4 linked regions of the Lepisosteus oculatus genome follow. The protein of the gene in region 1 interacts with the protein of each later gene in a pairwise test. Links are inferred from orthologs where the notes say so. Each region holds a gene or a part of one and is shown in the gene's direction. Other genes may lie near its edges. The genes, in order: atxn1a, klhl12, SH3 and cysteine-rich domain-containing protein 2 and znf276.

Region 1 (7,441 bases):
TCAAGTATATAGTAATGTGCAGTAATGTAAAGTAACAGTACAGACCATCCTTTTAAATGTTCCTCTTCAGTACTACAATTGTGTAAATTGATGACCACACCACTTTCAGCTCTTCGGAACTTTCATTAAAAAAAAAAGTTTTTTTGCATAAAGACCAAAACAAGGAAGTTATGACTAAAATTGTATCCTTTCCTTAGATTCTTGGCATGGCTCAGAATGGAAGGGGAAGATTCCGCAGAGGAACCATAAAACAGGAGCCTAAGACTACATCTGGCTGCAGCTCCAAGTGTTGTTTTTTATAGGCTCTGAAAAGAAAAAGAAAACCGATGTACGTTCATAGACCACCATTACTGCCAGTATGTACTGTCCTGGGTAAAGGGGTGTCTCTGAATATACTGTATAACAAAATGTGAGAGATTTTCTCCAGCTACAGTGCAGCTTTAAAAAAGCACATTCGCTCTGCAGATAGTGAGCGTTGTTTGGAATTGACAACGTCTCACTTCATGGTAGTTCTTCAGTTTCCTGTAGTATTTTTTCTTCTTTCCCACAAAACAGTGAAATAAAACATGGCTGTCATAACATCACTCTCCTTGCAGTATTTTCCTGACTGAAAATTTGAGGATGTGGTCATTATCAAGGATGTTTCAGTACTTCGTGATATGAAATCGTTAAATCATTTAAATCAGCTGTCTCTTTATGAGAACCCACTTTTATCAGTTTCACGTTGTACCTTAGTGTTATGTGAAGCCTTGATTCTTAAGATGCTATATTTATTACAAGAACTGCCAAATTTAATTAGGCTAGATGACAAGCAAAAACAACCTTGTATTCTAGAAGGGAACTACCTTGCTTTTACACAGAATTCCATATGTAACAGGCGAACCTTTTGAAACACTGCTAGTTGTTAGAACTGACCCCCAATTCCTGCCATCTGTATAGATGAAGCCCCTATTAAATGAAACGTATCCTGGCTGTGTTTGCTTTAAGAAAAATCTTTGTTCTCATACTTTCTGTGTTGTACAGTAAATAATTTATCATCCTCTTTTTGTTGATTGAGAAAGGAGAAATTCTTAAGGAAATTACACACATATGATGAAATCACGGATGGTTGTGGTGTTAATGTCATTAGTATGCGTAATGTTGTTCTTCAGAAAGATGAACTGGGGACTATTTAAGGTCACGATTTCAAAGATTGTGAGGCTTGCCATGCAAGTACCTAATTTCTGATGTATTTGATTGACAGAAATTTGTCAGCAACATCACTGTTTAGGAAATACTTGATGGTAACAGAATATTAAGGAATTCTGGTTCCCTACCAAAGCAACAATGCTAGAATGTCTTATGTGTATTCTCTCAGGCCCAAAGCTTATCACATTTGAAAGACCCTGCCCCTAATTCTAACCCTGACTCTTTGATAGAAGTCATCAACATCAGGAGTCAGAGTACAGAATGTATTCAATTCGTATTCTTCTAATATTCAGTTCAATATCCATTTGTAGCCACTTCTGTAAAGTGGGATTACACAATCAAAATAACCTTTTCAAGTTGCATTTTGTTTTCTAGAAACATGTGATGCAAGTAGGTGAAATAATGCATCTCCTCTTGCCTCTTGAAATGTAAGGCTTTATTGTAAATATACAAGCTCCAGACAATCCGTAGTATTTTGCTGTTTTAAAGAAACTGTTATTTAGGACTACTGTCTGTGATCAGCGATCTCTGTATCTACAGCATACCGTTAATATTATTTGTTCAATATCAGTAGAAGCCGAGCTGTGAAATTGGAAAATGAATGCTGGCTTTCTGTGTGCCTTTCATTGTCTAATATACAGCTGCTCAGGACTTGAAATGACGATTCCCTATAGTGGGCAAGAGTCTAACTACTGTACCTCTCTTGGGAGATGCTGACAGTGCTAGTCCTCACTTCACTTTGAAATGAGCCGGGACAAATGTCAAAGCTACTTATCATAATATGGGTATGATCCACCACCACCAGTGCAGCCCCACCTGGATGATGCGACGGCAGACATAGTGCGCCAGAACGCTCACCACACATCAGTGGGAAGGAGAGCAGAGTAATGAAGCCACTTCATAGAGTAAGTACTCTATACCGTAAAAAAAACTATTCATACTGTAAGACAGTAAAACAGAAAAAAACTATTTTTCCAGCAAGCTCTTTAGCAAACCCCAGTCCCCAGGATACTGTATCTCTTAGTTTATGTAGTAGCTGAGCTTTTAATTACTTTGACTAATTGATTCCTTAACTGAACAGTTTCTTAATTAGATCTAGACCCTGTTTGGGCTATTTTCTGCACTCAGTCATGTGTTTCAGAAATACCCTGCTAGTTGTCAAGATATTTAGCAAGCATCATGTGCACAACATTTTCCAGAAACTGCTCTTCTTCTTCACCTCACTAAACATCTAAGCAGTGATTTTAGTGACATAAGGGAATTGTGTAGTACCATGAATTCCCATGGCAAACATTAATTTAGGCCAGAATTTAAAATAAATTGAACTCACTTGTCAGTCCCAAATAAAAACTCTACTTGATATTGTGCCACAGGAGCTCCTACTGTATTTCCTCTAACAGGGAACTTGCCGTTAGATATTCTGGTTGGTTAGTGGTGATGGGTTTGAGATTTTAACTTTTGAATATAATTGGGCTTTAGTGTCACTTGATCTCAGTGACTTAAATTCCAGAGGCCCGTTCAGTTAATAGAAACCCCCACAGAAAAAAGGGGGTTCTGAAAACTAGATTCTGGAGATATCACCAGGATCTAAAAAGATGAACAACACTTTCCAGTACATTATTGATCTATTGAGCAGGGCATTTGTCTAAAGGGACTCTAGTCCTCAAGGACTGAGTTTTTTTGTTTCCAAATGATTTCTAAATTGAGCAGATTCCATCTTTTCAGTCATCAGTTACGTCCCATGTCGATGCCATGCTGACATGTAAGACTGGATGGGTAGCAACTCTCCAAGAACAAGGCTGGAGACCCTGAAGGACCAGCAAAGCTTACACATCACAGTCCCGATTAATGACTTTCTTGACTAATTTACAATGGCTGCTTTATCAAAATTAAAATGAGGATTCAACTGAGAATCCATCATAAAAAAAGACCAATAGAGAAACCTCAGACAGCAGTGCTGGGTAAATTTTAAGTGCTGAAAGCAGTTAAAAACATTTAAACAGTCAAACCTTCAGCTAAAGGGTTACATTAATTAAGTCAGATAAAAACTCCAAACTCCTTTCAGTAAAAAGTGTATGTGAAATCCGACAGCAAAGATACCTGAACCTGCAGCTGAAATGTCATACAACTTTGCAATAGAGTAGGGGCCAGCTTTTATTTTTCTACCTACAGTATATTAATGATGTAAATCCTGACAACAGCTCTTCCCCAGGTTGGCTGTGTATTTAATCAGTTCACAGGCGTTTCATAGGCGGTTTTACTGGAAGATGCTGCTATCGTAGATGTTAGCATTGAACTTGAGGATGGTCAACTGTTAAGAGTGATCTGCCTTTGGGGGAAATTTGGTTTCTGACTTTTCTTCTACTCAAGTGTGGGCCTGCTGGACACTGGAGTCAGTTTTCAACAGTATTGTTCTTGAAGGAAACTCTTTTTCAGGGTCTAAGGTAATAGATCTCAGTCCCATGTCCCTTTCTTCTCATATGGCTTGAAAATTGATTCATGGAATTAAAAATACCAGTCAGACATATTGTTTGACTTGAACAGTACAGCAGTTTTGGAGGTGCCTGTGGACCAATGTATTTTCCAAGAACAGCTCTTAGCCACAGGCCACAAGAAAAATGTGCAATTTTACTTTTTAAAATTTTACAGTTAGAGACACTGTAACTTTAAGATTATGACCCAAAGCATAGCTTTGCTCAAGTGTTATTTAGAAATTAAATATATGATTTTATTGTCACAATCAGGATTTTCAATTGTCCGTTTTGCTTTTTCGACACAATAGACTGCTCACCTGATGGCTGGTGTTTGTTTGTTGTTTCTTTTAAAGACTAACAATTTGGAATCGGTCAGTTATGAAAATCCGGAAATATTGACACAGTAGAACGAAAACAAACATATACACAACATATAAACATGTTCTTCTTTTGTAATTTAGCCAGGAGAAGAAAATGTTTTAAAGCTATCTTTATGTTTGGAGTGCAAACAAAACCTATGCGCTCGATGTATTTTAGAAGAAAAATAATCTGGCTGTAATGATGTTTATCATGAACATAGTATCCTTGACTAACCACCTTTTTTAACCGATGGCATTTGTCTACGCAGCACCTAGTTAGGCGTGACTTGTCACATTTCAATGTTACTTTTTTCATGCGCTGAAAGGAGTCACTTGGTTAGGAGTTAATACATATTGTGACTTCATGCAGATCACAGCGTTGAATGAAGTACTGTAGCAGTGTGGTTTCTGGGCTTCTGGGCGCCTTACTAGAAGGTAGCGAGTTGAAATCCCGGGCAAGCCAGCAGCTCCTGTTCGACTGCACTAAGGTGCCAGGGCTTCGCTCGGGATAAAAGCTAACACCACCTGCATGCACCACGACCGCTTTCCCCGAACGAGACCGTAAACTTCATCTTGGCGTCTACGAAACTGTGAGAAACCACAGCTGTCCACAGAAAACAAAACGTGGTGGGGGGGAACAACACGACAAAAACGTCCGGCGGCGAAGGAGTTAAAGCTCTCCGTAACTCCGTGTGGTGTGGGTATGCCTTAATCCGCGACTCCTGGCTTCGTGCCAGAGAGCGGCTTCGCCTCCATCCCCTCCTCGCATAGTGAAGGATCCTGGAGCTATTGCAGAGGCGGCCAACTGCTCCATATTTGGCTTCTATTACACATTCACAGAGCGAGCGAGCGAGAGAGAGAGGTGGGAACAGCGAGCGACACAGAGAGAGCTAGCCTCGCTTTGCTGCAGACATCCTTCTAGTAGTGGAGAGGAGACGGACCCGCCGTCACTGCAGGAAAACAGCCCTGGCAACAAGGAAAGGCATTGCCCTCCTCAGACCATTACACCGTACAGTAAGTCCCGGCGATTTATTTAGCGTGATGTCTTGCCTCGGGAGCCCCCGGCTCCGTCGCCGCTTCTCCTCCCCAAAGAAGTGAGGAAAATGGCTCTGAGGAACTAGGAAGGGAGACGCGATGGATCACAGTTGGCGTTGTTTTCTCTCTCTCTCCCCCCCCCCACCTTCTTAAAAAAAAACACCAACACCACCACCACCACCACCACCAGAAAGGAGGTATAACTTCTTACGCAGAGGAAAGGGTCTGGGAAAAATTTCGCCCCGGGCGTCCTTGGACGTGCACTGCGAGGCGTGCGCCCGTTCGCTGCGCTGCGCTGCGCACCAGGCGGCGGTGCGGCGGATGTTGCGAGGCGCGGTAGCCGAGGAGAAGCGCACTGAGCTGGGGCTGCTGTCGGACCAACTCTCGCGTCTCGCTGCGTCACTCCACTTCCTCTAGCGGGCTCAGGACGCATTACAGAAAGCACTTCCTAATCGATGTGTCCATAGTGTGTGTGTGTGTAGTAGTACAGTAATCCACGAGATAAGCGTGTTGTTTCTAGTTTTATGAAGCGGGGTTTTTTTTTTATTATTGCTGGGCAGCTCTTTCCAAGGACAGGCGTGTGGGTGCGTTGCGTAAATGCAACACTCTTCTGGGTTGAAAGAAATGTAACTCTTTTTAATAACCCTGTTACCTAGAAATGTTACAGTAGCTGCTTCTAAAGAAAAACAGTCCACAATTATGAGCTTCATCATCCCTGCATTACGATTTTTTCTTAAGGGTAGTCTTATGCGTTATATTATTTGGCCCATGCCCAGAAATGTATATTAGTTTAACACCACTATGCCTTTTGTATCGAGGTTATAGTAAGTGTAACATTAAAGAAAACAAACATACACATATTTAGAAAATACATGCCGATTCACTATGACGTTTCTTAAATACACCCAAACATAAATTAATTCGGTTTAAATGGACATTTTTTCCCCCGTTCCTTACGGCTAGTGGTTGTTAAGTCTTGCCCGTGATGTCATGTAACCCAGCTAGCTATATTGTTATATAATAGGCTGCTGGGATCTCAGCGTTTGCAGGCTATTTATACTTTGTTTACAGTAACGAAAGGCTGTGTGCATTAGGGAATCCTTTTAAACCGATGTGCTTTTGCAACTTCTGCTCGGGTACTTGCGGATTTGCACGCTACTTGCCTTAGCGTTGGTCTTTAGAGAGGGGGGAGACCGAGAAAAACCACCAATTTATCGCCGTGCTGCGATATATATTTTGTAGTAGACTAACGAGGCAGGTTCTCCTCCCTGGCATCTCGGTGTATTCACAATCTGACATTAACACGAACTGTCTGCATTCGCAAGTTTGTTTTCGTGACGCTATTGTACTGCTTCGACGTTACCAGCACTGGTGGAGGTTTGTGAAGTCGCAAAGTTGAGGTCCGTCTACATTTTTAGGCGGGCAGCTCTTGTTCGACGTTGAGATCTTTGAAAAGGTGAAAATAATGTCTGCAGAACTGGGATATACAGTACGTGTGTGGGGGGGAAAAAAAGAGGCACAGGGCTCTCGGTATCCTAGCTCTGGCTGTGACTGACAGTGAGCTCTTCCGATGCTTTTATCAGGAGCAAATTAAACTTCCCCCATAGTGAAACATTGCCAGCCGCGCTCTGCACTGAATGGAAGGAGAGTATTAGAGAGGACTGTTGTAGACCGAGGCTGATGGCCTCACCGGAGCTTTGCTTCAGCGGCATGGAGATTTCCAGTCCACAGTGCAGACTGGCGGCGCTCTTACTTCAGCCGTGATCAATCAAGCAATTAGATCGGGCTGCTATGGCAACAGACAGTATTTATTCACCCATTCAGGTGTGTTTGCCTTGTGCCGGGCTATGTTCTCCAGTTTCACGGGCACTGCATAGTAATCTTCGCTTGCCGCCAATTTCTTTAGTTAACCGCTTGAGGTTTAGTTTTGTGATTACAACACTGTTACTATAAGGCCACTGCTGCTGCAGATAATTCCAATTACGTTTAAATTAAGAGAATTATTCTTCGATCAGATTAAAAAATAACGTTCTTCTGATTAACCTTTACAGCATTTAGTTTATATCACAGTTGGGCATCACTGCACGGATTGAGAAATTGCGGATGAGGTTTTTGTATTTGTAAAATATGGAATCAAGGAGAAAGGTTTTCTAAGGGTAAAGACATTTTTCTGCATGGGTTATTGCACAGTTTTATAAAGTGAAACGTTCTTTTTTGTCAAGGGGACAAAGCTGTGGTATAAGCTAGCATCTAACACATTTCTTGAAGGCTAAGGAATTTATCTAGTGTTGAAGTTCCTGAAACAATGCATGCACATTATTCAGGAGTACACCAGAGGAACTGCTGTCAGAACTCGGACCCACAACCTTGCAGTTACAAGCCCAG
Region 2 (7,451 bases), on another chromosome or scaffold:
TAGTATTGGAAAACTTTCACCATTAAATACAAAGTTCAAAAAAAAAACTCTGCTCTTGGAAAGCAGGGCTTCAGCAGAGGGATTTCACAGTGTCTCATGATCTCACGCTCTGCTTCTTCAGTTTCAGTCTCACCAGATCTTCCACGTGCTGGTGGTGGCGGCTGCCTTCATCCACTTCTACGGCGTGTCCAACCTGCAGGAGTTCCGCTACGGCCTGGAAGGGGGCTGCACCGATGACTCGCTGCTCTGAGAGGACACCGCATCCCCCCCCACCACACACACACACACACACACACACACACACACACACACACGGCAGCCTGCACCCACTGTTCCCAAGTGCCGCTGGGGCTCGCAGGACCCCGTGTAGAATCAGCCTCTCCCTGCCGATATCCTTTCTTGACCGGCCTCGGGCCCTGGAGCGTGGGGGGGCCCTGTGGCATTCTCCCTGGAGCTCCTGCTTGGATCCTCCAGCCTTCGAACGATACATTTCTGGCGGGGGGGGGCTGTGCTGAACAAAAGTACATGGCTCGCCGTGAGGGATCGAGAGATTCGGCGATGCTAAGAGGCGTCCCTTCCGACAGGCATTCCTGGAGGCTGCCGCGTTCCTGTAGGTGTAGCTAGGGAGGCGCGGTGTGATCCGAACCCAAAGGAAAAATTTAGAGAAGGCCTCCATGAGTCCTTCGTGGGGCGCACACCAAGTCGGAAAGGAAATCGGCAGAGAGCAAAGGTGCTGGACAAAGCGTTTTACAAGTCAGCTATGGACGTGCTGGTCTCTCTTGACTCCCTGGGCTCAGGTGTCGGTTTGAGTCTTGGCCGTTCATTCCTGCCTCTTCGTCCTTCAGGTTCGTTTGATCTAGGTATTGTAACGCCGCCCACAGGCTCACACAGAGCCTGCCTTTCAGATCCATACAGCTCTGAATCCCGGCGCGAAAATGCTTTGACGACGCCCTTCAATCCATGAATTCAAAGATCCCCAGTTGATCCTCGAGAGCTGTAATCCTGCAGAGCTCTTGTCTGTTTAAATCGTCACTCTTTCTCCTCTGGAGAAAGGTGTTATAGTGTATCGGTCCAGCTGATTCCTAATGAGATCCTTCTCTTAAGCTGTTGGTGTGAGATTGTGATGGCAGAGGAAATTCGAGAAAGAAGGCGATCGCCTTCTGGAGCAGAAAAGTAGGGCTGAATGGAGACAGGCTTTATATGAGAAAGGGAGAGTGCCATAGCTGTGGTAGTGAATGAGGTACAATGGGATTTTAGATTTTACTTGTAATTGAAGAGGCAGGAATGTGAATCAAGCTAACAGCCAAGAGATAATCAGTAGCGGAGAGGGGGGAATCAGTGGCCATTAAAAAGTTGTTCTTGACAAAAGTCTGTGAAATGGGTTTTTACATTCATTTCCCGTTTTGTTTTTTATGGAAATTCTGCAGGCCGGTTAAAAACGAAGAGGCAGTTGGTTCTCTGTTGTAACTTCATTAGCTCTGATCTTGTCTATGATCATTGGACAGACTGATTAGTGAAGTGTACCCCTCTTTTCAAAACCTGAGTATTTGGCGGGGAACCTGGAGACCGAATTTGGCAGAATTTGTAACGTGACGAACTCTGCTAACTGACGCTCTTCTTGAGCGCCATCATGTAAAAACCTGACTGGAAACACAAGCAGTCAACACTGTCTGTACCTTTCTGGGCTGTCTTAGGCATCTAACGGTTTTCTTCGAAACGCATACTCTGGAAATCACTTCCCCATTGTGGCTTGGGAGGAAATGGAGCAGGTAACTTATTGGCATTGCACAGACTTATAACGCACAAGGTCTTTTCGATGGGCTGTATGGTGCAACACTAATTTTCTTCCCCTGTCCATTTCCTCCCACATCATCAGATATTCATTTTCATAAACTGTATTTGCTAGAGTAGTGAAAATGGTCAATATCAGTCTAATATGCAACAATGTCAGCTGTGTTCGCACACAGCAACGTATTGAATAAGATGCGGGACAATTTAGATGATTTTACTTTAACTGCTGTACATTAGAATGAGATATTGATTTAAGATACAAGGATCCCAGTTAAAACACTGTTTGGAACTGTGAAGACTGATACTGAACTGCTACCTTTTACATCTCAAAACTAGTGCAGATCAAGACGAATGTGGGATGACTCCAGTTTGATGTACTCTAGGAGTTGTTCCCTTTATACATTTTGTCCAGGAAACACTGCATGTACTTTGCAAGATCTAAAGTGCGGTGGGCATCAGTGGAAATTGTAGACATAAACTTCCCTGGTCGCTTAACCCACTTTGTCAGCAAATTATTAACATTGTTACCTTTGATGGGGGAAAAATAAACCATCTGGTGGATTTTAATCTAACTAGTTATTCTCCCCGATGCAGTGTGTTCCCTTAGTATTTTCTGTGCCTTAAGCAAATGGAAATAAAAAAGGGACAAACTTTGTAAAGGTCTGGTGCACTTTAAACACCAGGAGCAGTCAGGGAGCAGCCAGTTCAGAATGTGTTGCAACTAAATCAGTTTGACCTGGATCTTGAGTGACTACATCATTTTTCTCTTTCTTCCATCTGTGGCTTTTTCATTTTGATCTGGCAGTTAGAGTTCATTGAAGCCCATCGATAAGCTTGTTCTGCTGCTGTGCTCGTAGACAGGGGTGTGCCTCTTTTAAGTCTCTTTAAAGCTGGGTGCTTAACAAAGACTTTTTAACACTGCGTTGAACACGCATGGCGTGTCCTTTCATGTAGGCCTGTGATCATCCATTTCTCCCTTCCAGCCACAGCCTGTATATCTAGATGTAAGATGTTCTATTAAATATTTAATAAAGCTTACAGTTAGAAACCATTTCTCTTGTTGCTTTTGTTACCCATCCAAGAAGCCCCTCGCTTCTCTCCTTGATGATTAACCAGTTCAACACTGGGCTCTAGCAGTTGTGATCAGTGATTAATGTATAAGGGGCAGTACAGTGATACAGTGATTAGGATGGGGTTCTCTGGTCTCAATTCTGGACCCGGGGTGCTATCTGTGTGGAGTTTGCATGTTCTCTCTGTGTTTGTGTGAGTTTCCTTTGGGCACTCTAGTTTCTTCCCAGAGTCCAAAAAATATACGGGTAGGTTCATTGGCTTCTGGGAAAATTGGCCCTGGTGGGACTGTGTGTGTACTTGTCTCTGTGCGTGCCCTGTGATTGGCTGGTTTCCTGTCCAGGGTATATCCTGCCTTGCACCAGTTTTATGCCAGGTTAGGTTCTGGCTCCCCTGCAATCCCGAATTGTTAGAAGCCGTTAGAAAATGTATGGATTATTTTGTTACTCTTTACATGTTAAACTCCCAGCCTCTGCCTCCCAACCTCAGGGCATTGGGTTTTCGTCATATCCTTTTCCTTGTCAAAGATTTACAATTACAAATCATAATGCAGCCTCATCTGCTGAAAGGAAAGCATGATTCTGCTGCAAGATGAGCTGTGCCTCTTTTTATTTTTTGGCATCTCGTGTAGGTATGGCAAGTACTTAACAAGGTTCTGAAATAATTACACAGCCCAAAGCTGCATTCTACTATTGCTCTCCATCCTAAAGAATTCCAAAGTTCTTTATAAAGAAATAGGCCCCCTCTTCCTCCAGCATTGAAGCACAGCCCCCACCTGAGAGGCACCACTGGTCGGCACCAGCAGTCCCACTGCACAGCTGGTCAGGGGGAGAAATGAGAAACTGCTTCGACTGAATTAAGGGAAGATACAGGGTAAGCTACATGGTACAAGCCCAGGGTAGAAGTAAGCAGGACACCAGAACTGACACCCCTACTAAACAAAGTCGTTACCTCAGATTAATGTATCACCCGAAGACCAGCACCTCCTGCAGCACGGTGTCCCCGATCATCATCCCAATCGTACTGGGACCTTGGTTTTTGAACAGTGGTCAGGATGGAAGAACACCACCTACTGGCCCAACAACACCACTAACAGCAGCAGCTGGAGCTGTGATTCTCAGCCCCGGTTTGGGAACTACCCCTGTGTCCTTTGCTTTTTTGTTCCAGTAATGAACACGCTGTCTTTATTTAAATAAACCGGTGAAAACAAAAACACTGCAGTTAACCGTCACCTCATAATATTTTTTTTCCATGATCTGAAACATCTGTCTTAGTGTTTCAGCTAATTTCTAATTCCATACTCCACAAGAACTGTGAAAGCGGCAGGAAGGGGGCCTTTTGGGGTTATTGAAAAGCCAAAATAAAACAATAATGTCAAAACAAATTCTTAAATATGTAAATACTCGTACAAATAATTACCTGCTATCACGTAAATGTATTACACATTTATGTAAACTGCAACATAACTGTGATTTTATACACAGATTCTTTACATTAAATAGCAGTTTAAGCATTTTTAATAGAGAAAAGAAGGCGCGTTCACGGCCGTGGGAATCCTCGGGCGTGTGGACCTTGTGTGTGACCATGACGTCATTGTGTTGTGTTTGCAACTGGTACCTGGGACTTTTATCTTCCTGGATAGCACAGTGCTAATCATGAAAACTGTGTGACTGTGGGGATTTTGAATACAGTTACGAGCTAACCAAACTATCTTGTTTTTAGAGGATTAGAAACCTGGACGTTTGTTTCGGTAACACTTGATTTTAGTTAGAAAGATCCCAACAGACGCGGGCCGCGGAGAAGAACCGCGGTGTGGGAGTGACGGATACGCCGGAGTATGGAGCGTCTTTGCTGGGGGTTGTAACTGTGCAAATCACCGGAGCGTCTCATCTGCTGGTAAATAACGTTTTGTCCGCAATAAAGTACACTGCATTCAAATAACATTACATCTGAGCTTGTTGACCTCTAAAATCATATAACGGGCTGTTGCATTTGACCCCTTGAAGTGATCTGGTTGTTATAAACATGTCCACCGGCTAGGAAAATAAATATAATATACCTCAGTATTTTGCATCTTGTAAGCACTGGATTCATATTCTGTTCGTAATGATACCTCGTGCTCGAATAGGATTCTCTTAGTAAATCATTCTTAAATCGTGCGGTCAGATACGGGTCTGTGCACAATACGTATTTGGCACACTGTAAAGTTAAACTGCAATGTTAACTGGTGCTTTTCGGACCAGCATTAGCAGCAAAGCTTTGTGAAATCGATCGGCCGTGAGCTGCAGGGTGACCCGGATGCCCGATTGTACTTGTCGTGGGGTACCCAGGACTGAAGGGCGCCGTTTGTCGTATTACACTCCCAACATGAAATGTATTACATAATTGATTTTTGTTTTGCACAACACGAAATGAAAAACTAACAACTTTCATTGTACCCACAAAAGACAGTTGTGTTACTCTACCCATATAATGACATACAGACTTTCAATTTTTAGACAAAAACATGTTTATTTTGTATACGAATATCGCAAATTGATATTCAAGTCGTGCGCTCGAAGCGGAATACCGTTTGTGTTTTGTCACTGCTCATTTCGTGAACTCAAGGACGTCGATGTTTATTTCGTTGAACGAAATTTTGTGACGTATCACTTTTGACCCCTGACCTTTGTTGGCATGACAACCAAGGATCAGTGGCCATGGACGTCCACAATGGTACTGCTCATGCGCTGGAGTAGTGCACTTCCTTAGTTACAATTAGTTCCTTGGAAACAATGTACTGTAGTTTATACTGTAAACGGTTACTAGAGATAGCCAGTGGCTATTTTCTTATGGAATTTTTGATTGTTTTCAAATTATTTAAATAAAAAAATTCACCTAGATAACACGACGTCTGACAGTACCAGCTAAGGCAAGAATGCTTTTCTGGAAAAACGTTCCTCCGTTCATCCGTTTTCTAATGGCTTCTTCCACTTCAAAGTCGTGGGGGAGCCAGAGTTTATCTCTGTAACAGGCACAAGGCAGGATTACACCCTGAATGGACACCTGTCCATCACAGGGCAAACAGACATACACTCACATTAGGGCCAGTTTTCTCAGAAGCCAATTAACCTACAAGTTAATTGTCTTTGGACTGTTGGAGGAAACCGGGAGGAAACGGAAGCACCCTGAGGAAACACACATGAACAGACGGAGAACATACAAATTCCACGCAGACAGCACCCCACGTCCAGAGCTGAACCCAGGGCCACAGCTCCACGAGGTAGCAATTCTTACCACTGCCACTGTTTTTCTCAAAACCTATTTTATGTAATTTGTATATACCTGTATGTGGTATTTAAAAGAGTATTAATAAAATTTCCTTGCATTTATATTGCACTTTTAATCCCAAAAGTCCCCTAAGCACTTTACGTGTAGGAGGGAACCCCGTTTTTTCATCCATCATTAATGAGTAGTTCCCATCTGAGTGAGTGTGGCCGCTGTTCTCTGTCAGTGGTGCTGCTAAACAGTCGATGAGGTGGGAAACGAGAAATTACTTCTAGCTACATTCACGGGGAACTTTTGCAAAGCCACACTGTACAATCAAAGAGTGAAATTTAGCCAGGGTACTGATACAACACCCTACTTTTTCAAAAAGTGCAGTAGGATCGTTAATGACCAGCTTAATGTCTCTTGTGAAGGATAGTATCTTCAGCCAGTGTACTACGTCTATTACTAATAATAATTCCATACACTTATATAGCGCTTTTCTGGACACTCCACTCAAAATGCAATACAGATAAAGGGAACTCCCCTCCACCACCAATGTGTAGCACCACCTTGATGATGCATCAGCAGCTGTAGAGCGCTAGTATGCTCACCACACACCAGCTATCAGTGGGGAGGAGAACAAAGTGATGAAGCCAGGGATGAGGATTATTAGGAGGCCATGATTGATAAAGGCCAGGGGGCAATTTGGCCAGGACACGGGGCCACTGCTAGTGGTTCTTGTTCTTGGAAATTGAAGTCCAGAAAAAAGGGTACCAGATTCTGGTCTACAAGTGCCACTTACAACAATGACCTGTTTATCCTGAAGATATAAGTACAGACCAGGCCCAACCTTGCTTATCCTCTGAGATCTCATGAGATCGAGCTACAGGGTGCTGACACTGCTCTCACACTGGTACACCAACCAGACTCATGGGGCTAAAAAGTGCAGTTCACCCTAAAGGTTCCTAAAAAGGTTTCCATAATAGCAATTCAGTCATAGGTTATAGTGCATCCCTCACCTCGTTGACATACAGAAGCCATTCTGCACCAGGAGACCCCCTGCACAGCAGATCAGGTTGACAAGTGAGAATCTGCTTCATCAGGCTGTTGATGTATAAGTAATGTACATATTTACCAAATTTCCTACTCTCATTTGGAAGCTGTCTTATGCAACAGGTATTTAGTAATTTATCAATAATTATTCCTTGTTCCAGATAGCTTTTGTATAAAGCAATGTTCACAATTTTAAAAGTTCTACATTAATATTCTTTGTTGTTCCCGGATCCTTAGTTCCCAGTTGATCCTGCAGTAATCCATTGTGTTCAGTTTGTTAGTACTTTTCA
Region 3 (7,193 bases), on another chromosome or scaffold:
TCCTTTGTCTTCTCTTTTCCCGTCTCCTTTTTACAACATCAAGGATGAGTCCTGCACCTCCATCCACTCATTTATTCCATCCACTTCAGGGCCGTTGGAGAGCCAGAGCTGGCAAGCAACAGGCACAGGGCAGGACACACACAGATTCACACTCACACCAGGCCCAATTACCCCAAAATGCCAGTTAAGCTGCCAGTATGTTTTTGGACTGTGTGACATGAATATGGAGAAAACATACAAACTCCACCCAGACAGCACCCCAGGTCTGGAACTGGACCCAGGGACCCAGCCCTGTGAGGCAGCAGTGCTAACTCCATCTGATCCTATGTGCTCCCAGAACAGGCTCTGGGTTGCTGCTATCCTCATCAGCAGTCTCCAGATAATGGCAGGATGGATGATATTTGGTTTATTAGCTGAGTAAGTAAGCTCAGTAAAATGTCCCTTGAAAGAAGGATGCATTAAATGTAATAGACAGCAAGCATAACAACACAGTCAGTGATAATTGATGAATGCAATTTATGCTGACATTCATGTATAAATAGCAACACAGCGCTCTTTGATTTGAATACAAGGGACAGCTTCAGCGGTGTTATGAACACGCGCTCCTCTTTCTTCACTCTTATTTGTCTGCTAGCACGCTGGCCCAGTTTTATGCACAATCATTTCGTTTCATCACACTTTGGAGGAGACGGTCGACGGTATGCGTCTCACGTCTGCACCCGAATCAGTGCTGTATCGAGGCGCTCCCCTATTCTTTGCATGCTCATTTGCATGTAAATGTCTCAGTGTTTGCAATGAGCGAAGAGGGTGTGAGCTGGTCTTTGCAGGGGGTTGCAGTACTTCACATTTGCAGAACTCAGGAAGCAGATGAAATGCAGATGTCTGTGTTTTGCTCTTTATTTTTTAGATACTCGATAGTCTTCAAAAAATATGTAATGCACTGTGATGTTTTGCAATTCAGGAGTTTCATATGATTCCTTTACCCAATCCCACACCCCACAAAATGAAGGCGGAGGGTACTTTTAGAGGCATCAACTGCTACCAGCAGCAGAGATGAATATTGTCTTTTACTTTTGTTGCTTATTTTGAAACATGATTCTCAGCAGATCCTTTGAAGCTTGGTATTGCATAAAAGTATGGATGCTTTTATTCTATGTCTCAAGTCATTGTGCAACCCGCGAATACTTGAGATAGAAGAAAACTGGCTAAATTGAGTTTACCTCATAGTACAGGGATGAGCATTCCTGGTGCTGGAGGGCAGGTGTCCATCCCAGCTCCTAAATCAGCTCATTATTAGTTTATCCAGTTTAACTGCTTCTTCCAGTTCATCAGCTGCTTTGAAAAGACCTAGAAATCCTGCAGACAGACTGGCCCTCCAGCACCAGGAGAGCCCACCCCTGATATATTAAGATAGTGTAAGTGAACTTTGTCTCAGGGATGAGTCAACACCTTCATGGACCATCATAGGGAGATATTGGGCTACTCTGGAAAATGTCACCATCATTTGCAGACATTAATAATAATTGCTTACACTTATATAGCGCTTTTCTGGACACTCCACTCAAAGCGCTGTACAGGTAATAAGGATGTGTAGTTTTGGGGTGAAGACATCTGTTTGCAATTTTAGAGAGATTTTTTTTAAATCAGGGTGATGCTTTAGAATTCAATGCACAAGAAAGCACACAATTCAGAATGACCTTGTGTCCATTAAATCCTTCAGCAGCGACACTGTGATCTCTGAAAAGCCCGAGATGAAACAGTGGCAGACGTCACTGCAAAATAGGCATCTGTGTGCATACGTGCACAGACGCAGATCAAGGACTTCTCATTAAAACGCTTCTGTTAAACATTCAGGTGACCTGGAGTGAGCCTTTGCTGTGTGTGTTGGCACGCCGCTGGTTGTGATGGCTTTTCCTCTGTAAATAAACGAGCAGCGCTGGAGGAGAGAGACTGTGGTTGCACAGCGGACTGATAAGGGGCTTCAGAGAAGGGTGTTATGCTAATTTGAGGGGAAGAGGATGATATATTTCAAAGGCTTTGTTGCTGCTTTGCCGGGCTGGCTGTCTAATCCCACGCGTTTCTGTGTGCTGTTGTATCTCGACAGTGCTACACAGAGCACACGCACACACATGACAGGGGCTTTAATTAGAAACTGCGCCATTCCACCAGCCCGTGCTGGAGGAGGCGGCGGTGGTCCTGCATGTCCCCAGGAGACACGCCGTGCGCCCACACCTGGCCACTACCGGCTCTGCCCCAGCCGCCCTGCGAGCGAGCCCTCCGGCACCCCCAGTCCCAGCATACCTGAGAGCCACACAGTGTCCCCCCCTCACGCTGCCCCCCTCCAGAGAGACACACGGAGCCTGGAGTGCTCTAGTTCTTTGAGATATGTGTGTTACCACCACCCCCCTGTACCACAATGCCCCCCCCCTCCGAGAATATGAAAGGCTGGCACCAGCTAAGACAGGAGTTAGTGTTCAAAAATAGCTCTGCTTGGAAGACAGCGAGCGTGGTGGTGAGCAGTATGGCCTCTTTCTGTAATAACCCAGACTGCTTCGCCTTCTCCAGAGCAGTAGACAGCCGCCACACGCTTCCTGTCCGTTCAAGTCTCCTGCTAACATGACTCCCCCGCGGGGGAACGTTCTTACACACAGGCCCGAAGTTTGGTCTTCGGCGGCCCTCGGCACTTTCACTCCGAAACGGGCAAAAAGAAGGGTCAACGCCAATTGAATGACGTCGGCTGACATGACGCACTCCAGACTCTTGTACTGCTACGCCGCGAGGATGGAGCGAGACGAGCGACCATCGCTTCGATACTTCTAGTTTCTAGAACAGCCGCTAGAGAGCGTGTTGTTCTTGACTGGGCGCACCTAGAGTCGACCGCAAAACCTGTTGTTGTCCACTCGTTTTTCGTGGGTCACTAGTGCTTCCCTCCCAGTCCCACGGGAGAAAATGCTGGAATCTCGGGAAGGAGATGGGTGCCCGCTGGAACGTTTTCCCAAAGCACTTTTCCCAAGCTGTTGTACAAATTGAGTTGAATTTTTTCTCTCTGGTTATTTACGGTAATGTCGAGTCACTCCGTTATGCCAGAGTCCGGTCCGCTGCCGTGGAGTGTGCAGGATCGTGGGTATATTCCTCCCACTATCGCGCAGAGAGACGAGAACAGCCCATAGAGGCTGATCAAAGCAGCGCTGTCAAAGACCTCGCCCCTAACCCCCTCCTTGACTGGAGATGCACGGGACCGAATACAACCTGCTGAGGCAACGAGCTTGTATGGAGTGACCGACCGCTGTCTGCACCGCGCCATGCTTAAAACAAAATTGCTAAGAGCGCGTCAAGAGGCTGTCTGGTCGAGCAGTTCAGCGGGGGGTTAGACTAGGAATAAACCTATTACTTGTTCCTGGGCAGTTCAGAAGGCGCCGTTTGCGTGCGCACACCTGTAATTCTCGTTCAATAGTTTCTATAGTTAGCGCGCGACTGAGTCATCGGGCACATTAAAGCGCCCCTCCGCGCGGGGGGGGGGGGGGGGGGGCGTGCTGGCGCGCGAGGCGCGTTGCTAGTAACGCCTGGGGTGCGATCAGATCCTCTCCGGAGGCACGTTTGGAGCTGCTGCTGGGGGTCTTCCTCACGGGAAAGGTGGTGAAGTTCACGCTCGGGTCTAGTAGGGCTGTTTTCATGCTGTAAAGGTGGGCATTAGGAATTATTACTTTGGCAAAGGCCGTTCTGCAGCTCACTGAGAACAAAATGTGATCAAGCCGAAGACGGTTTCTCTCTCTTTTTTTTAATGGGCAAGGTCATTAAATATCACGAGTCTTACATGACGTGCGAGTTTCTCCTAAAGCGGGTTTTCGAGATGAGGGTTGTACGTCGGTGTTCACGCCCCTGAAAACCATTTGATCATTCGCCGATAGGAAATTCATTTCCCATTCTCTGGGATGCAGTCCGCAACACGCGGCAATGCTGCCTGGCTTGATTCTTGCGCTCCTGTGTGTGTAGATCCATTTGGTTAAGGACCCGTTGTCTATCAGCGTTGTCTTACCAGGCCCTTTGACTTTGAAAGTGTAGTATGTTGTTTCTGCAGTTCGTATTGGTGCCAAAATGCATTTAATTTCAATAATGATAATCAACCGTGCGTACGAATGTTTGCACAAACAAGGAAGTCATATTTTTTATTTGTGATTCTCCTATTACTGTCACAATATTCTTTCTAGAACAGAGCACGTCTCCTTTTCTTGGGGCCACCTTAAATGGGTACCAAAACATCTACCTGTGCCCAGAGACACGCCCCGGCGCGGCGACGTCACACACAGCGGCCAATCACCGTGCGGACGGCGGTCGATATTAGCATATCAAAGAGAACCCCGCTCCAATCACAGAGCCGCGGAAGCGTGGTCGGGCATTCTATTAAATCAAACTTGTAGCAAAGGCGCGTGTGAGGCTGCAGATCTGGCGTGCTCCACCAGTACAGCACCTGGGCTAGATTAAGGGCGAACTGCAAAGTCGATAGCGCCACCGAGGCCAGTATATCTGAGAGCGCTGGAATTAAAAGCACTGATCTGACTGAGTCGCAGGACAGGCGCACTTCACTGGGATTCAGACCACTGCGGCTTGGTTTTCTTGTGTTTCTGAAAAAGAGAGTTGCTACCAGTGTTACTATCCTCTGCGGTGTGTACGTTTCAATGCATGGGGGCTACATAACACCAAAGGCAATGCTGACGCGTGTGGCAGTTTGCAAAAAGTGACTGCCGCGCAAGAAACTGAAAAAATAATTGATTTTTAAAAACAATATATATATATACGAGCATCGCTAACCTGAACAGAACGAAATGGTACATTAAGTGAAAGAGACAATACGGTATAAGCCGTAATTCAGTAGTATTGTCATTCCCTGCGAAGAGAATCGTCAATATGCTTTGCGAATAAAAAGGAGGATTTGACCCACTTGCACTCAGCAGGCTCAGCCGGATACCGCTTCCTGACTGACTCGCTCGCGGGCGCGGCACGAGCCGGGCCGCCGGCCAGCCTCCAGCGCGAGCGCGGCGCAGAACCGTCCGGGACGCGAGCAGCGAGAGCCGGGACCCCGGAGCGATGACGGAGAACAACGAGAAGGAGAACGAGCCCCAGAACCGGGATCTCCAGCGCTCCCCCGGCACCGTGTCGGTCCAGCCCGAGTCCAAGGTAAGACCTGCCCCTCCCGCCGCCGCCGCCGCCCCCCAGGGCGAGACGCGGACAGGTTCTGATCACCTGTCGAAGCCCGATAATAGGCCACTGTCGCCAGAAGGCGTATGACACAAGCGACACGACCCCGGTGAGAATGCATGACCCCCCTTGTCTTTATGGTCGTGACACATCCAAGTCATCTTTGTGACCAGCTTTTGTCGGTTGTTTTTTTTTGGTATAGGCTCTGTAAATATGGCGTCCTGTAAAATGACATTTGTCCGATTTGAAACGGGAGAATAAAACTTGATGAGTGGACCTCAGATAGCGGGTTTCTATAATTATTGTTTTAGAAGGGTGTCTTGATAGGAATGTAAATGAGAGATTAACACTTAAACCTGCATCTACGCCTTTGCTGGCGTTCCCCGGATGACATCAGTTGCGGGCTGTTCTGACTGGAGTGGACCTCTCTGGTTCTAACAGTCTGTGAACAGCGCGGGTTTCGAAGCAGCAGAGCGTGCCTCGCGGACTCAGGTGGCCCGGCATACCTGTCACGGTGCTCATGCAATATTGTCTGAGTCCTGTCCATGCAAAAGCCTTTTAAAGTAAAGGTTTTAAAGTCTTTCCACGGGAACTGGAATCCGTCGGCGATACCGTGCCTAGAACATATTAGCAGACAGGTAGAGCGATAATCTTGTCGAAGGAGTGAAGTCGCGGTAACACATTGGCAGGTGAACTGTCGCTGGCGGTGATCCGTGCTGTCAGATCACAGCGGCGAGGAATGAATCTGAAGGCTTCCGAATACTCCCACTGGGATACAGACTATCATGCCTATTTGATTGAGATTCTACTCAAATATGTTTTATTTTATTTTCGCCTTCTCATTTTCTCTTAAATTGCACGCCCGTGGCAGGGTATTAAGAGGCACCGCAGACCTCTAGCGTTATTAAGAGAAACGTGTCTTTTGGAAGTCTGTGTATAAATTCTAGTGGTTTGTGGGCTGGGCTCATTCAGGCGGAACCCGGGGAGTTCAGGTGTGCCCCGTGTCTTTCTCGGGAGTCCTGGTTTGTAAAACACACCGCTGATTCCCCAGTACAGGTCAATGTAGATATTGTAACATGCAACCGAAAATAGTATCAGTCGTCTTTTTCAGACCTGAAGTATTAGACTACTCTGTGGTTGGATAAATATATTTTGACGTTAAATTCCACAGCTACTCAGTCGATTGTCAGTGTATTGGGGTCACGATGTTCTTATACCGAAAGGTACAGTATAACTTCACGAAACGATTCCTTGTTATGGAATAATACTGTTTTCCTCTGTAGCCATGTGCGTCACTGTATAACTGAACTGACTTTCCCAGGTAATGACATTCTGTTCCGTTAAAGCCTGTATCTTCGAAACGTCGCTACACTCAGGAAGCAGTGAGTAATTCTCCTCCAGCGTGGAGAGCTGCCTGTCATTTGAAATAAACGAGCTCGGGCTAGATATTTATACCGTTTCCCTTGACATCTATATTTTAATCCTCACGACACAGGACGTCAGACAGCAGCTCGCTGACGTCAAAGAAAGGTCTCTTCCTTGACGTATGAACTACGCTGGATCTTTGAGCTGCCCCCAGCTCATTGGGAGTGCTGTGACTTCTTTGTTTGAATGAGCGCATAGGAGGGGTCATCGGCTGAATTGACCTCTATGGACCGGGCTGGCAGACCACGAGCAGCACGCGCGCCGGAAGCGATGGGGCCTCGGCACAATCCAAGATTAGTGTGGATGGGGGTCTGTTAAATGACCGCGAATTACTGTGGGGTCTGTGTGATCGCCACGAAACTACAACACCTGGGCGTGCACGCGTGCTCTTCTGTCACCGATTCACTCTGCGCGCCCAGCCTCGTCTCCTGCGCGTCATTGCGCCTGCGGGCGGGGCTGTGTTGTTCATCTGGTAGTGGAGCCAGACAAGGCGCTATATTCCGGGGAACGCAAGCACCTGACACGCTGCTTTTGAACTGCGCAAACCTGCACAGACTGAGCAAAAAAAAAGA
Region 4 (6,935 bases), on another chromosome or scaffold:
TTTTTTGATCATTACTTATCACTTTTTCTTGAACATTAACTAAGTTCTGATATAGGCTTATGATCTAATTTCATTCCTTTAATCAAGAATCATAGCTTTCACAATTATTTCAATTGCCATTTCATGGACTTTGAAGTGTCATGTAGCAAAAACAAAGCTTCTTACGTTTCGGCACGGCCTCCTCCAGAAGTGCCTGGGAAATGTAGTTAATGCTCTTCAGGTATTCACAGTAAGCCTCCTGGGGACAAAACAAAGCAGAAACGTGAGCGGTCTTCTTTCAAAGCTCTGTCAGCCTTAAGTACGGATTTGAATTTTAGACTTTTTTCATTATGGAAAGCAGACTGTGGCTTCCAACACTTGAGGGCGCACGGCTCACAGAGCCAAAATGTTGAATGGAGTTTCATGTTCACAGCACAATTTGAAAACTAAGCAGTAACAGACACTATTCTCTAATTGCCATGGGGCTGTGTAGATGTATTAAATGTGAGAAGCATCTATAGGAGGGTTACCAGGGATTTGATTATAATTTTGCTACACATTGGTGGCACTGGAGGGGAGTCTCCATTCTGGAGTGTCCAGAAAAGAGCTATATAACTGTAAGCAATTATTATTATAATGTCCACCACAGGCGAATGGACCTTCTTCTCTCTTGATGTCTTACACTTGATGTCTTACACACAGAGGTCTGAATTGGGTGGGGGAGAGACACCCTGTGGGAGGGCTCCCACCCCTGGACAAGATGATCGCAAAATAAATTATTTTTACAAAGCAATTAAATATTTAAAAGAAAGAAAACAAAGCTGCCTACTGGCTTAACAACCGTGCTTTAGCCAGACACCAAAATCTTCATCTCTGTGGCTTGTGGTTTGCGGGGAATTTCCGTGCTTGCAGTTTCAGTCGCACTAGCCTTCCAATCGATGCGATCTCTGACATGCTCAACAGCAGCAGTTACAAAAGTGTGACTGAGAAGCTTCCGAGGAAAGCACACCGGGCCTGCCTCCCTTCTGTTCCCATCAGAGTCCCCCAGAGGTAAAGGCCAGCTGATTCACACAGGACAATACCCAGATTCTAAACTGAAATTTGCAGTTTCCAGAAAAATAACAATAGTAAGAAATGTTTTCTTGTGGACAAACAAAAATAACCCCACAGCACTTATAAACATCACGGAAGGGTGGAAGGGTGGAAGGGAGGTGTCTAACAGCTGTCTTCTGAGTTCAGCAAATTTCTCAGGGGACATTTTCCATCCCACCTTCAGAACAACTCCACTGAGTTTAATTCTCCATTGATCAGGTTCTCAGCTGATGATTTACTAGCTCATTTGAAAAAGAGATCTTGATAGCAGCCAACTTTTTTTAGGAACCTCAAATTTAAATGAATAATCAGAAAAATAAAGTAAGCAACACTATAGCGGCCTTTGAGTAACTGGAACTTTGTGTGCATACGCTGTTAAACCCGAAACCACTTGCTATATTTGTACAGTATAAGAATATTTTCCCAGTACGAAACCAAAAAAGTCAGAAACAACCAAATAAAGATATAAAATCAGTCCAAAGGGTAACTTATATAACTTCTTAATTAAGTCACAATTTTGGGTAACTTGGTCCTCTCATCAGTCATATCAGTACATTTGACAGCACAACTCGCATATGCAAGGGCATGTGCCTGTAAATATGGCCAGAATATTTAAAAACATATTTTAAAAGCAAAGAATGTTATGTAAAACATGGGCGGAGTGGTGGCTCTGTGGCTAAGGATCTGCGCCTGTGGCTGGAAGGTTGCCGGTTCAAATCCTGTGGCCGGCAGAGGAATCCTACTCCATTGGGCCCCTGAGCAAGGCCCTTAACCCCAACTGCTCCAGGGGCGCTGTACAATGGCTGACCCTGCGCTCTGACCCCAGGCTCTCTCCCTGTCTGTGTGTCTCATGGAGAGCAAGCTGGGGTATGCGAAAAGATAATTCCTAATGCAAGAAATTGTAAAGGGTTAATAAAATAATGTGAATGTTAATGTTAATTAAAGCATCACACTAGGTAACCAAATAAGCAAGGCAGGCCGAACTGACCTTACCTTGATGAAGTAGTAATACTAGTTTCTGAATATTATCAAAGTATTTCACATGACAGAAATAAACATTAAAAACAGGCAGTAAAGGCTACACAAGCAGGGGTCATAGCAATCTATTTAAAAAAACAAATACCAAGAACGGTAGTTATATACTTATTTTGAATAATAGAATACAAAGTATTATTTTTTCATTGAGGTTATTTAAGATGATAATACAATTTAAAAAATTGCACCTATTATTTAAAAGGAGGCATCTTTTTATCTGTATATCCAGCATATGCTTTGGAAGAAACTAGGGACGAGCAAATGAGGCCGACGCATATACAGTACAGCAGATAGCAGCGTTGTGTATGTGGGGGGTTGTACACGATAGGGGGCGCTCACAGTGCATTTGCAACCGTGAAGATTCGTCTCCTCCGGCTGGCACCCGCAATTCAAGCATCAAAGTGCATTCGTCCTGAACATGAAGGACGCCTGCAACCTATCACAACATTTAGATTTGTGAGGAAGGGAAGTGTAAGTATGCTGCAACACTAACGAGATACTGTAAAGCGCTGATCAAAATTACCTTACTGATATGCGTCCATAATATTTTTTTAAACTGGAAAACACTATGATCTGTTACAGTCCAATTAAAAACATACAACAGCATAGCCTGAAGCTGGAAACACGGTGATTGCATTGTAAAGTTTTAACTGTGGTCTAATCTGTGGAGCTTGAAAGGCGAAACAAACCCCCCCAAAAAACTCAATGAGTTAAACGTAAAGTCAAAACTAACGGACCCCTGTAGTGTTGACAGTCTCTACCTTGAAACGCTCAGAAACATCGACACCCCTCACCCAATGAAACAGCACTATTCACAAATTCAAATTCCTTTAGTTAATAAATACAGCGCATCACATCAATAACTACAGATATACTGATGATACTATATCGACGTGTATCGAACACCATTTCACCCCAACGAGTCGCCGGAAAGACTCCAGCTGAATAAACAGATTGCAGTCGGACAGGAGGTGCCATAATACAGTAAATGGGAATGCGTGTTTCAAACCAGAAATGTGACATAAACTGAAAAAAACTGATAATCGAAAAGGCGCATGAACACATTTCTGTCCGTATGAAGGGAAACGTGAATTGCAGGCTCATTAAATTTCAGAAAAACGCCTTTTATCGCTCGGCTGGGGTACGACTGCTTCATGACGACATGTAAACAGTGGGGTAGCGGAGTCAACATTGTGTCCCGTTACTGGATTTTAACAGACAATCCAAGGGGTGTCACTCGTTCTTTCTCGCGTCTTTGATAAAATATGTGTACGTTTTACCTTTTGTCTGTTCCCCGCGTCCAGTTCTATAGCGACATTGGCTAATTTCATGGCATTCTGGAGGGGTTTCAAGACCCCGTCCGACGCAGCGGCGGCCATCGCGGAACCAAAGATCTCGCGATGGTTCCTCAGCAACCACCGGAAGTTGGTCGGACAGAATTTCATACAACACCCACCACCGCTGGTGCGTGTGAGACTGCACGGAACGTCAGATGGGTGTATTTTTTCACCTACATTTGCATATCTCATTTATTCAACGGGACAGTTTTCTTCTAAAACTTTAGTAGCATTAGCCTTGTCAATCTTTTTTTTTTTCCTGGCTGATGATGGCACCTTTCCGGGCATTGCTCCTCTTGTTAGGGAGCGTCAAGTCCCTGATCTGATTTGAAGTCAGTTGTCACCGTTTCCACTGCGTGACAGTACTGACTTCACACTAGCGGACCCGAGGTGGCTCTCTTTCGTGTTGGTGCTGGGTCTGGGATGCGATGGGAAGAAGTCTCAGCAGCCCCGTGTTCCTGCGGTACTGCCACACGGCCGGTAGGGGCGCTGTGCCGATCTGCGGCCGAGTCGCTTCTCATGGTCGCTCTTGAGTCTCTCCCCACTTTCGCCACTTCCGCTCCCACTTGTTTACTTTCGGCTCTGGGCTTTTTTTTTATGAGTTCTTTTTTTAAAAACAAAAACCGACCAGATATTAAAATTACGTTACATATAGGCCGTGCAATATTACAAAACACGCCCATGCTTTTATAACCGGCGGGAGGGGGTGGGTATTTGATTTGGAAACAAGAATCTGCTTCCACATTTCGCATCCATGTAATTACAATAAGAGAGAGTTTTAGCGTTCTTGGCAGTGGTGGGGAGAGTGGGCATGAAGCGAGACCGGCGCGGTCGTCTGGCTGCCCCGGCGCTGCAGACACGGTTAGGACAGCAGGCTGCGGGGAGCAGGCGGGGGAGACCGAGGTCTGCAGCCAGGAGGAATGTGTCCGGGGACCGGAGCGAGGGCAGCAGCAGCGGCCGGGAAGAAGGCGGCGGGCTGGGACTCGCCTCGTTAGATGTCGGAGGAGGGGGTGCTGAAGGCGGACCGGAGCAGCCGGGTTAGTGTGTCAGTACCTTCACTGCTTGCGGTGTTTTTTAAACACTCCTTGTGTCCGCGCCAGCAGGAGTGTGCACGGCGGGCGCCCGGTGCCGGGGTGCCCTTGAGCGCTGTGCTCACATGGCAGCCCCCGCTGTCAGTTCGCTCCTCTTGTGAAGGGCTGCCGCCTGCTCCCTCTCAGAGGTAGATTTTGAAAGCGATTTCTCCTACAAGGAGTTCCCCAGGCCCCGTCAACTAAAGTTTGTGCCAGCACCCCGAGGACCCCCGATCAAGTGGACGTGCCTGGCACGGATGTTATTTGCTTAGGGGGTTGCACTTAACAGTTTTAATGGGGCAGGACTTTCATTTGCAGCGCAAGTTACAGTGTCGGGCAGTTGTTTCCAAAGATCGTTAAACTTTACCTGCAGTCAGCTTTTTGTACTTGTTTTCTGAACTTTCTCTAAGGCAATAAATCGCTGCGTGGTACAACGATCAAAGCTAAATACAGAATTCTAAATGAGGTCTTGTTAATGTATTGTAAGACTTGAACACAACTTCTCTTGACTTGAATTACAGGACTTTTGCTCTATACTGTCCTTTTTGCTTTTTGTTGCTTCCCTGCCTGGCATTGATAAGAACATACAATAATCTACGTAGTCATTGGGGCAGAGTGGTGGCTTTGTGGCTAAGGATCTGCGCCTGTGGCTGGAAGGTTGCCAGTTCATATCCCACTCCGTTGGGCCCCTGAGCAAGGCCCTTAATCCCAGCTGCTCTCAGGGCGCTATACAATGGCTGACCCTGCGCTCTGAACCCCAGCTTCTCTCCCCGTCTGTGTATCTGTGTCTCATAGATAGCAAGCAATGCAAAAAGACGAATTCCTAATGCAAGAAACTGTATGTGGCCAATAAAGTGATGTTATGTTATGTTATGTTTTATAGACACCTTTTATGTGTGTCCTTCTGCAGTTTAGACGCGGTCTTGTAATATGTGTCTGTTCCTTCTTCACATATTACAAAGTGGATCACTTTGCACACATTTGCCAAACGTCTGTCCAGTCTGTGATTTGGGTTGAGCCTTTTGCTAATTCTTTGGCTATCGTTTCTGTTCGTCACAACCCGTCTTTTTGTATCGCCTGCAAATTTCACTAGTTTTCCATTTGTACCAGAATTTAAATTGTTGGTGTAGCTGATATGGATTAGAATTCTATACATATGGGCCCAAGATGAGTCTCTGTGGTACACCGCTGCTTCTGTCTGCCCAGCTGGAGGCTAAGCCCCTTAAGGTTCTGCTGTAAATGCTGGGTGGGGTTTGTAATGAGCCTCAACCGTGGACCTGTTTTTGGATGTCGGTCCTCGTCATCGTGTTGTATGGAATGCAAGCAGAGATGCTTCTGCTGAGCGAAGAGTGTTATGTTCTAAATGGCTTCTCGTTTGTGCATCGAAACAGATAAGCATAAACGCCGTTGATTTAAATTGCAGTGCAGGTGTAGATCATAGGACTGAATTAAAATTGGGGTGGGAGCAGCCTAATGACCGTCTGTTGTTCTCTTTGGCCCTGCAGGCTCAGGGAGGCTCACCACGGCGTTCTGCCGCCTGTGCCACGGCAAGTTCTCGTCGCGCAGCCTCCGGCACGCCTTCGCCAAGCTCCCGGCCGAGCTGGGGCGGCCCCCCGGCGCCGAGAGGAAGCACCGCGGCCCGCAGCTCTTCTTTGCCGATTTCCAGAGGCTGGTGGGCGTGCCGGTCCACCGGGACCCCCTGCTGTCCCAGTTCGTCTGCAAGAACTGCCACAGCCAGTTCTACAAGTGTCACAGCATTCTGCGCACCTTTGTGCAGCGGGTCAACCTCTCCCCCTCCTCCAGAGACAAGCCCCGGGGCAGGTGAGGGAGCAGGAGGTGTCTTCCTGGTGCAGCTGGTACTACCACATGGCACAGAGAGATAGATCCAGGCGGCGTGCCGCGCCAGCTCACCCTTGATCTCACCCGTGCATTCATTTGGCAGCGAATCTCCGTTTGAATCCATGTTTCGTAAACCTTTGGGTGGAAGGCCGCCATGGATGTTGTTTAAAATTACAGCTTAAAACTCTTCTACCAAAACATTCCACAACTGCAGTGTATTAAAACAGAGTGGGTCTGAAAGTTAATCTGATAGAGGCACTTGAATGTACTAACAGAGAAACAAGTTGCAACCGGTATTGGAGAGAAAAAAAAAATCGTTAGGACTAAGCCGTCCTGTATGTAGTTTTTTAATATTTTACCTTGAAGTGACGTTTTATTGCCAGTATACTTTTACAAAACCCACATTCAGTCCTAAATGTGTTATTGTGAGAGCAGAATTGGGAAGAAAACTGAAATTAAACAGATTGTGATTCTAAAGTAAAATGGTTTTCTACCTCGAAAGCATGTTTCAGTTCGATGGATACATTTTCAAAATGACAGACGTTACTGCATAATTTAAAGAGGATTTGTTTATCGATTTCAC

Evidence for each region.
Region 2: the proteins of atxn1a (region 1) and klhl12 interact in binary tests that used the Homo sapiens proteins (3 or more experiments, as listed by UniProt). The link is inferred for Lepisosteus oculatus from reciprocal best matches to the Homo sapiens genes ATXN1 and KLHL12.
Region 3: the proteins of atxn1a (region 1) and SH3 and cysteine-rich domain-containing protein 2 interact in binary tests that used the Homo sapiens proteins (3 or more experiments, as listed by UniProt). The link is inferred for Lepisosteus oculatus from reciprocal best matches to the Homo sapiens genes ATXN1 and STAC2.
Region 4: the proteins of atxn1a (region 1) and znf276 interact in binary tests that used the Homo sapiens proteins (3 or more experiments, as listed by UniProt). The link is inferred for Lepisosteus oculatus from reciprocal best matches to the Homo sapiens genes ATXN1 and ZNF276.

The regions. Positions count from the first base shown.
Region 1 is NC_090705.1:39,523,493-39,530,933, reverse strand, and holds the start of atxn1a (ataxin-1a), read left to right. Parts: upstream 1-4,436; 5' UTR 4,437-5,035; intron 5,036-7,441. UniProt on the Homo sapiens protein: Chromatin-binding factor that repress Notch signaling in the absence of Notch intracellular domain by acting as a CBF1 corepressor. Binds to the HEY promoter and might assist, along with NCOR2, RBPJ-mediated repression. Binds RNA in vitro.
Region 2 is NC_090700.1:30,399,858-30,407,308, reverse strand, and holds the start of klhl12 (kelch-like protein 12), read left to right. Parts: upstream 1-4,448; 5' UTR 4,449-4,755; intron 4,756-6,001; 5' UTR 6,002-6,040; coding exon 6,041-6,121; intron 6,122-7,451. Other genes in the region: adipor1a (adiponectin receptor protein 1a), read left to right, coding at 122-250. UniProt on the Homo sapiens protein: Substrate-specific adapter of a BCR (BTB-CUL3-RBX1) E3 ubiquitin ligase complex that acts as a negative regulator of Wnt signaling pathway and ER-Golgi transport.
Region 3 is NC_090723.1:5,904,888-5,912,080, forward strand, and holds the start of SH3 and cysteine-rich domain-containing protein 2, read left to right. Parts: upstream 1-4,174; 5' UTR 4,175-5,085; coding exon 5,086-5,175; intron 5,176-6,725; exon of another isoform or gene 6,726-7,193. UniProt on the Homo sapiens protein: Plays a redundant role in promoting the expression of calcium channel CACNA1S at the cell membrane, and thereby contributes to increased channel activity. Slows down the inactivation rate of the calcium channel CACNA1C.
Region 4 is NC_090715.1:12,649,012-12,655,946, forward strand, and holds the start of znf276 (zinc finger protein 276), read left to right. Parts: upstream 1-3,929; 5' UTR 3,930-4,254; coding exon 4,255-4,480; intron 4,481-6,018; coding exon 6,019-6,334; intron 6,335-6,935. Other genes in the region: vps9d1 (VPS9 domain-containing protein 1), read right to left, coding at 166-238, 3,387-3,635. UniProt on the Homo sapiens protein: May be involved in transcriptional regulation.